Linked DNA regions of Struthio camelus. The protein of the gene in region 1 interacts with the protein of each later gene in a pairwise test. Links are inferred from orthologs where the notes say so. Each region holds a gene or a part of one and is shown in the gene's direction. Other genes may lie near its edges. The genes, in order: FIP1L1 and CPSF4.

Region 1 (3,904 bases):
ATCTGTACATGGCGTTGAAATATTTAAAATTTACTTCAGGAGAAAAAATCCCTTCTGAGAAGGTAAGGTTTATTCACGTGAACTTCAGTGAAATGTTACGCCACAGGTAAAACTTTAAAACAAGGTCTACCACGCAGACAGTTTGAAGAAAAAGCTCCCCTGCCCCCAGTGTTGTGGTATAATACAGTCAAGCGCTCTAATCCGATTTTTCTCAGGTGGGCCTCCTGTGAGGCAGGGGTACTTTCTCAGTTTTCACAAGCATCCTAAGACAGTGAAGACTCCATTTGTACCTACAACTGGCCAAAACCTGTTTTTTAGAGTTTTTGGTACTTAATATTTCATAATGAATCTTAACAGTTGTTGATGCAACATTCACAGATGAAAAGAGAACAATCCATCACTAGAAATGGCTTGCTACTTCCCGCTGCTTTTAAGATGGAGCAATTTCTCGGTGGAACGCCTAAGTCCACTGTAACTTTTTCGTCGCGGCACACTGCGAATGTGCGAATTCTTACCGGAGCTTGGGAAAAAAACCCAAATAAATCGGATGATTAGCGGAGGAAAAGCGTGTAAGGCGTTGTTAAACCCCGCAACGTTACCTCCAGCCGCAGGGGCCCCAGAGCTGGCAGCCAGGAGAGGCGGCAGCGCCGCACGCCCGTGCCGCGCCGTCGCTCGTCCCCGGGCAGCTGCCCCGGCTGCGCGCGGGTTGGGTCCAGCCCTGCTGCCGGCGCCGGGCCCCCGCAGCCCTCGCGGCAAGCGCCCGCCGCCGGCCAGCTCCGCCGAGGGGCCGATGGGGCGCAGAGGGACACGCCGCCCCCCCGGCAGCCCGGGCAGGCACCGGGCGAGGCCGGCGCGGCCCAGGTGAGCGCGGCGCCGGGGCCCGGGCTGGGGCTCACGCCGGGCCGGGCCGGGCCGGGCCGGGCCGGGCCGCCCCTCCCGCCCCCGCCGGGCCGCCCCCCGCATGCCCGTGCCCAGGGCGCCGCGGGGCCGGGCCGGGCCCGCTTCCTGTGCGTGTCACTCACTCGGCGGGGGAGGGGAAGCGCCGAGCAGGCGGCGGCGGCGGCGGCTCCTCCGAGGGCGGCGGCGGAGGCCCGGCCGGGCGCTCGCACACGCCGGCCGCAGCCCGGAGGCGGCCTGAGGCGGCGGAGGCCCCGCGCGGCGCGGCGCGGCTGCCGGGCGCGGGGAGGAGGAGGAGGAGGAGGCGCAGGAGGCCTGGGCGCCGCCGGGCCTGGGCGCCGGCGGCCGGCGGCCATGTCTACCGGCGAGGTGGAGCGGCTGGCGGCGGACGTGAGCGGGGCCGCCGGCGACGAGGAGGAGGAGTGGCTCTACGGCGGTACGGACCTTCCGCGACCCCCTCCGCGGGCCCCGCGCCGCGCCAGGCCCCGCTCCCGGCCCGGCCCGGCCCAGCCCGGCCCGGTAGGCCGCGGCGTGCGCGCCTCGCCTGGGCCGCGAGCGCGGCCCGCCCGCCCGGCACCTGCCCCCGCCGGAGCCGGGCCCGGCCCGCGGCCCGCGCCGCTTTAAAGGGTCCCCCGGTCCCGCCACCCCCGTGGCTGCGCAGTCCCCTCCTCCCGTCCAGCCCTCCCGGCGGGCGACAGCCTCCCCCTTCCCGCCGCCATGGCCCCGCCGCGCCGCGCCGCCGCCTCGGGCGCCCCCGGCCCCAGCGGCAGCGCGGCGGCGAGCCGGGCCCGGCCCAGCTCGGCCGCGTGGCCCCCTGCCCCGCGTGGCCCCCTGCCCCGCGTGGCCCCCTGCCCCGCGTGGCCCCCTGCCCCGCGGCACCTGCGGGCGGCCGTGAGGGGCGACGCCTGCGCCGGGGGTCGCGTCGTCAGGGGGCACCTTGCGGATTTTTGCGTTGGACGTTTTATCTTTCATCAAGTCCTTTGAGAAGAAGCCCGCACTTGCCCCCCCCCCCCAAAAAAAAAAAAACACCAAGCGGTCTGCACCGATTTCCAGCACCCCAGTTACCATCGTTAGTGCTGACGTGACCCATTGGCATGTTGAAGCCGTGTTACCCTTTCGGTATAAACTTTGTTTGCGATGCCAGGGCCTGTCTTTACGTTGCAATGCTCGTGCTCCCGGTAGAGCGAGCGCTGGCGTGGGCCTGGTGGCGCGGAGCACTGCAAGGGTTCTGTGGTCTGCCTCACTGATTTCATAATTGAAGCATTATGAAAACGTCTACAGCATTACTGGATAGTAAATTGAAGAGTTGCCTAGTAATCCGCTTGGCAAGATACCTGCTGTTGGTGGTCTTCAGGGATTTTTAAATATATAATTGTTAACTGCTGTGTTTCTTTTCTCTTGTGGTAGATGAAAACGAAATAGAGAGACCAGAAGAAGAAAAGGCTAGGTGGGTATCTGGAAATTCTGTAGTGCAGCTGCACAACGACATCATAACGTTCTTTTTCCCAGTTGCTTGAAAGTCCATAGCACCAGAATGCTCATGCTTGTCTTTTTGAAGAGCCCTTTAATATAATACATTTGGTCTAAAAAACTTATTTGGCTTTTCGTTGAAATGATTTTCTCTGAGAGACTGGGATACTTTTGAATATGAAAGTTGTTTTAGATTTTAACTATATGGATATCGGTAGCTCTTTACAAAATGCCATCGGAACTTTTTGTTTCTGTAGTTATTGTGCTTTGAAATCTCAGCCATGAATCAGGACTTCATTTGTGCTAGATGGTTTACAAACTAAGAGTAAAAGCTAGCGTGCTCCCAAAGAGCTTACAGTTTAGTTATAAAAAGACGAATACAAGGAAGCAACGAGAGAGTACTGGCTAGTTTGAGGCATACGTCCCGTAACACATTTGCTCAACTTTTTTTGTTGTTGTTGTTTGTTTGGTAGATAGTTTAGTAAAGGAGCCTTTGAAAGAAAGGTAGCCAAAGCTTTGAAAGCGTTCAAGGGAACTTGTCTGAGGCATTAAGAGCTGTATGAGAGATAGCGCAAAGATGCTGCTTCGAAAATCTAGTGGGGTTGGTGTTGGTGGGGGTTGTAGTAGGGACTGCCTGGAAGCAGGAGTCAGCTTTTGGATGTTGAATGAGAGAAGTCTCGGATAATGAGAAGCTATGGAAATTGATGACAGTAAAGGTAAGTTAAAATTAAATATAAATGCGAAGGCAATGCAAGAATGCAGGTATTATTTTCAATAAACTCTTCCAGCAGTCTGCAGGGATTTTTCAATCAGAGAGCTCTTCTGCTAAGTAACCCTTGATGGACTCCTTGTCCATAAGCTTGCTCTGTATCAACTCTTAATGTGCACAGTGCGTTGCAGCAGTAATGACTTCCATCACTTAACTACATAAGACATCAGTTTGAAGCTGCCTGCTAGATGTAATTATTTGATTCCAAATTAGTTCTTATGAGAGTTGTTTTCTATTCACCTTTTCCAAGGCATTCATGGTTTTGTAGATCTCTGTCCCATTCACCCTGAATCATCTCTTTTCCAGGACAAAGAATTATAATCTGTTTATTTGCTTCCTCATTTGGAAGCTATTCCATATCAGTTGATTCCTTCTGTTCAGTTATCTTTTTTTTTTTTTTTTGACGTAACATCTTTTGTCAATAGTGCTTTCCCTTAAGAACATTAATTGTGTGGCAATAAAAACCATCTGCAGAAAGGGTGGTGTTTTACTCTGTTTTCTGGTCAGTAGTGTCATGCAGTCTAGCTTGGCTGATGATCCCTGTTGTCTGCCTTAAATAGTACTTAAGGACTAAAAGGGCAACAGATTGCAGCTTATGTTTCTTACAGGTTGTGTTTGGAACTCAGAAAGGAGGGTAACAGTTACCCCTTAAAAACTGCGGTCTCTGGCCTCTCACTTTGGCATTCTTCACATATATATGACATGAAGTCTTACTCGGGTTCTGTATCATTTTAGTGGATGGTAAAGTGGTTGAGTTTAGGGGCAACA
Region 2 (3,904 bases), on another chromosome or scaffold:
CCTCGCATTCCTTATTTTACTTCTCTTCTGTAAAGACATACAGTGACCACACAGGACAATACACATGGGACAGCGTTGGAGGTGTTTGGAGTGAGAAGCCGCAGCACACTTGATATCAAACCCAGGACTGCCACGGGGGGTGACAGACTGGCTGAACGGAGGAGGAGATGAGGAGTGGTTGAATTTGTAGAGGAACTAATTGCACACCCTCAGAACTGACTAGTTAACTTGATTCTTATTTTCGGAGGGGAAACAGGCATAGGAAAGACCAGTGCCGTAGTCCAGGTTTTGCAAACGGAATCCTCTTTTAGCTCCTGGCCCAGCAAGTCTACAACACCGTGCTGCCTCTCTATCATCAAACGCTCTTTAACAAACAAGCAAAGAACTGGGAACAAACCTTGTCCTGTTTAATGAGGGCCTTGCATTTTAAGAAGTACCAGTACGGTGTGTTCTTGGGCCCACGCCGAGGTTTCCCTTCTTCTTCCTCCTCCCCCTCTTCTCGAAGCCGTAAATTCTGAAAGTGCGACGTGGTTTTGTGATAATGCTTTCTGGAAGAAAATTTACTAGATAGCGTCCCAAAATCCACGTCCGCCTCCTCGTCCGCGTCACGGGCGGCTTCAGCGGCGCCGCCGGGACCGAGCTGGGCCGGGTCCCCGCCGCGCAGCGCGCAGGCCGCCGGCGACGAGCCGAGCGGCCTCAGGGCCGCCGGCAGCGGCCGCCCCCGGCTCGGGGGCCGCAGCAGGCCGGGCGCTGCCCGCGGCGGGGCGAGGGGGGCCCGGGGCGGCCCGCGGGCCACCAGCCGCAGCAGCAGCAGCCTCATGGCGGCCCGTCGCCGCCGGGCGGGGAGGGGGTGGGGGGGGGCAGGAGGCCTCCCGCCGCCGTCGCTAGGCGACCGCCACCCCGCTCGGCGCCGCGCGCGCCAAACGGCGCCTGCGCGGGCGGAAGGGGCGTGGCGGCGCGGCGCCATTGGCGGAGGCGCGCGGCCTGCCGGGAGGCGGGGGGTCAGAGGTGACTCCCGGCATCCCGCGGCCGCCGATCGCCACACGCCGCCGCAGCGGGCCGCGCCGGGCCCCCCCCCCCCTTCCGCCTCCTTCCGCGCCCCTTCCCACCGCCATCATGCAGGAGCTCATCGCCAGCGTGGACCACATCAAGTTCGACCTGGAGCTGGCCGTGGAGCAGCAGCTGGGCGCGCAGCCGCTGCCCTTCCCCGGCATGGACAGTGCGTGCGGCCGCCGCTCCCGGGGCGGGCACCGGGGCCTGCGGGCTGTCCCCTCCGCTCCCCGCCCCGCCGGCGGGTCCTGCCCCGGGGATGGGGCCCGGCCGGAGCTCCTGCCGGCAGCGGCCCGGGGGGCCCGGCTTTGCCTGAAGCCCCGGGCGGGGGCTGCCGGGGGCCTGAGCCCCTCTGCCGGCTCTTATTGCATCGAGCCAACTTCTGCTGTCCCTTATGAGAGCTTCGGTCTCAACCCAGATGTTTTTCTTTCCTTCCTTGGTGCCATAGTTAGTGCCAGACCAGGCTAGAAAGTGAAGGTGGAGGCATCATTCTGAATAAACTTGACTTTTCTCCACAGCACTTCAGTTTCTTTGTTCCCCTTCCACGGATGAGGTGTTTTAAGGACCAGGAAGATCTCATCTTGGAGTGTATCTGTGGCCTGTGCTCTAAGCTTTCTCCTACAGTCTAGTAATCTGGTACAAGTAGTCTAGGGAGACTTACAGATTGTTAAAATTTTTCTGGCTAGACTACTAAACTAATATTTTAATGCCCTTAAATCATCTGATCCCTGTAGGTCAGGATCAGCAAGGGACAGCATCCTAATGCTCGTCTCAGTCCTTTTTGGTCAAAACAATATAAGACTTCAGTTTTCCTGGCTGTAAAGACTGGTTTCACCAACGTGATTGATTTAATAGCAGAGGAAAGCCTGGTCAACAAAACCTGGTTCTCCGAAAGGCTAAATAGGCACCACCAAGCTCCTGTAAATCCTGTTGGTGTACGTTTTACCAAAAAGTTTACAGATATTGGTGAGGGCCAGACTTGAACAAGGAACTCGCACTGGAAAGTAAACTCCCCAAACCAAAACACTGCTCTTTTCATGTTGAGAACCGGGTTGTCTCTGTAGGGAAGGAAATATTTTAAAAATTGCTGCAAATTCTCATAAAAATTAATAGTGTTTCTTTGGCTATTTTCTCCACAGAATCAGGTGCTGCTGTCTGTGAATTTTTTTTAAAAGCGGCCTGTGGAAAAGGCAAGTACTATTCCCAATACAATTATACTTTTACAGATGGGAGGGGAAAGGGAAACTAGATTCCTTAGCACATCGCTGTGTAGAATGCTCATGGTATATTGTAAAAATGGGGAATAACTGAGATGGAATTAGCTGCCACAATTGTGAAGTAAGGGTATTTTTTAGAAGAAGTGGGGGTGAATAAGCAAGGCTACCTGCAAAGACAGGTTTGAACTGATTGCAAGCGGTCCTTGCTCTGCACATGCCTTGTTAGTAGCTGTGGGTCATGGCTGCCCGGATTAAGAGCTGGAGCTTGCACTGCTCTGCTCATTAGAGAGTAAAAGAAGACTCTTATCAAGAACTCCCTGTTCTGCCATTGCCACTTACAGAAAAAGTGAAGTCTTCTGAAAACTCTTCTTGCAGAGGGGAGTCAAGTGTTGCTGCTGTCTTGTGCATAGCTTCTTGTGCTGCAGATTTTAAATATTCTTTTTTCTTTTTCCTTGCCCTATTGTTCTGCAGGTGGCATGTGCCCGTTCCGACACATAAGTGGGGAAAAGACAGTTGTTTGCAAGCACTGGCTACGTGGACTGTGCAAAAAGGGAGACCAGTGCGAGTTTCTGCACGAGTATGACATGACCAAGATGCCTGAGTGTTACTTCTACTCCAAATTTGGTAAGGGGCATTGTAGCTCCTACTTGACGTTCCTTGCTAGCGTGGGAATCTGATGGTGCAGAGGATCTTGATACATCCTTCTCACCCTGTCTCATCCATCTTCAAAACATTACAGCTCTTCTGTGTCTGCTGATACTGTTAGGTTGTAATTTGTCAGATCTGCTTAGCCCCTCACCTTATTTTACCCCCTAAATTCTTCATATGTTGTAGATGTGTCCTCTCTCAAGAGCTTGCCCCTTGGGGGAAGAGGGGGGAAGTTCAAGTCTTCGCTGGGTTTTGTACCTAATGTTCTGTTTTGGGTATGAGATGAGTAGGCTGAGTAGGTGGTCTTTGCATGACTTTTATTTTGGGAAGTTGATGAGCAGCAGAGGGTATGGGGGTGCAAAACTTTTATGCACTTGCTTTCCAGCTCTGGAGATCTGGACATAATGAGGCAACTTGCTGTCAGAAACTTACAGTCTTGTAGGTTTCCTTGGATTGAGGTTAGTGTGCAATTTGTAGTTTCTCCACACTTTTGGTGCACTAAATGTTTAGTTTTCGTTATCATGACTGCTCTTTCGAATTCAGTTTCCGCATTGTTTTAAAAGCACACGTAAATAATCCAGTCTGGTAGACTTTTACTCACCTAGGGTGAGTCTTGGTGTTTATCATCTAGGTCAAGGCAGGTTGTGCCTGAACTCATAAATGTTGGTAACAGCTTTGTGGGAGCTACATGATTCAGGTAATGTTTTGGGAGTGCTTTGATCTTGTGCCTGCACCGTTTGCTAAGAAGCGTATTTGCCTTTGGTACAGGGGAATGCAGTAACAAAGAATGTCCGTTCTTGCACATTGACCCGGAGTCTAAGATCAAAGACTGTCCCTGGTATGACAGAGGCTTCTGTAAGCATGGTATGTATGTCACACAGTTGCTGCTTCTGTGCCTATAAAGCAAGGGTAGGGTGATGCTATTTTTCCTTTGCAAGATCTGCCTGTGTACCTGCTGTTAGTGAGTGTTGGGTTACACGTATATGAAG

The links.
Region 2: the proteins of FIP1L1 (region 1) and CPSF4 interact in binary tests that used the Homo sapiens proteins (3 or more experiments, as listed by UniProt). The two-hybrid records come from large-scale screens. The link is inferred for Struthio camelus from reciprocal best matches to the Homo sapiens genes FIP1L1 and CPSF4.

The regions. Positions count from the first base shown.
Region 1 is NC_090945.1:57,345,199-57,349,102, reverse strand, and holds the start of FIP1L1 (pre-mRNA 3'-end-processing factor FIP1), read left to right. Parts: upstream 1-1,176; 5' UTR 1,177-1,251; coding exon 1,252-1,333; intron 1,334-2,304; coding exon 2,305-2,344; intron 2,345-3,904.
Region 2 is NC_090956.1:4,548,528-4,552,431, reverse strand, and holds the start of CPSF4 (cleavage and polyadenylation specificity factor subunit 4), read left to right. Parts: upstream 1-952; 5' UTR 953-1,109; coding exon of another isoform or gene 1,110-1,116; coding exon 1,117-1,219; coding exon of another isoform or gene 1,220-1,514; intron 1,515-2,189; coding exon 2,190-2,240; intron 2,241-2,738; coding exon 2,739-2,891; intron 2,892-3,683; coding exon 3,684-3,779; intron 3,780-3,904. Other genes in the region: PTCD1 (pentatricopeptide repeat-containing protein 1, mitochondrial), read right to left, coding at 398-750, 1,110-1,514. UniProt on the Homo sapiens protein: Component of the cleavage and polyadenylation specificity factor (CPSF) complex that play a key role in pre-mRNA 3'-end formation, recognizing the AAUAAA signal sequence and interacting with poly(A) polymerase and other factors to bring about cleavage and poly(A) addition.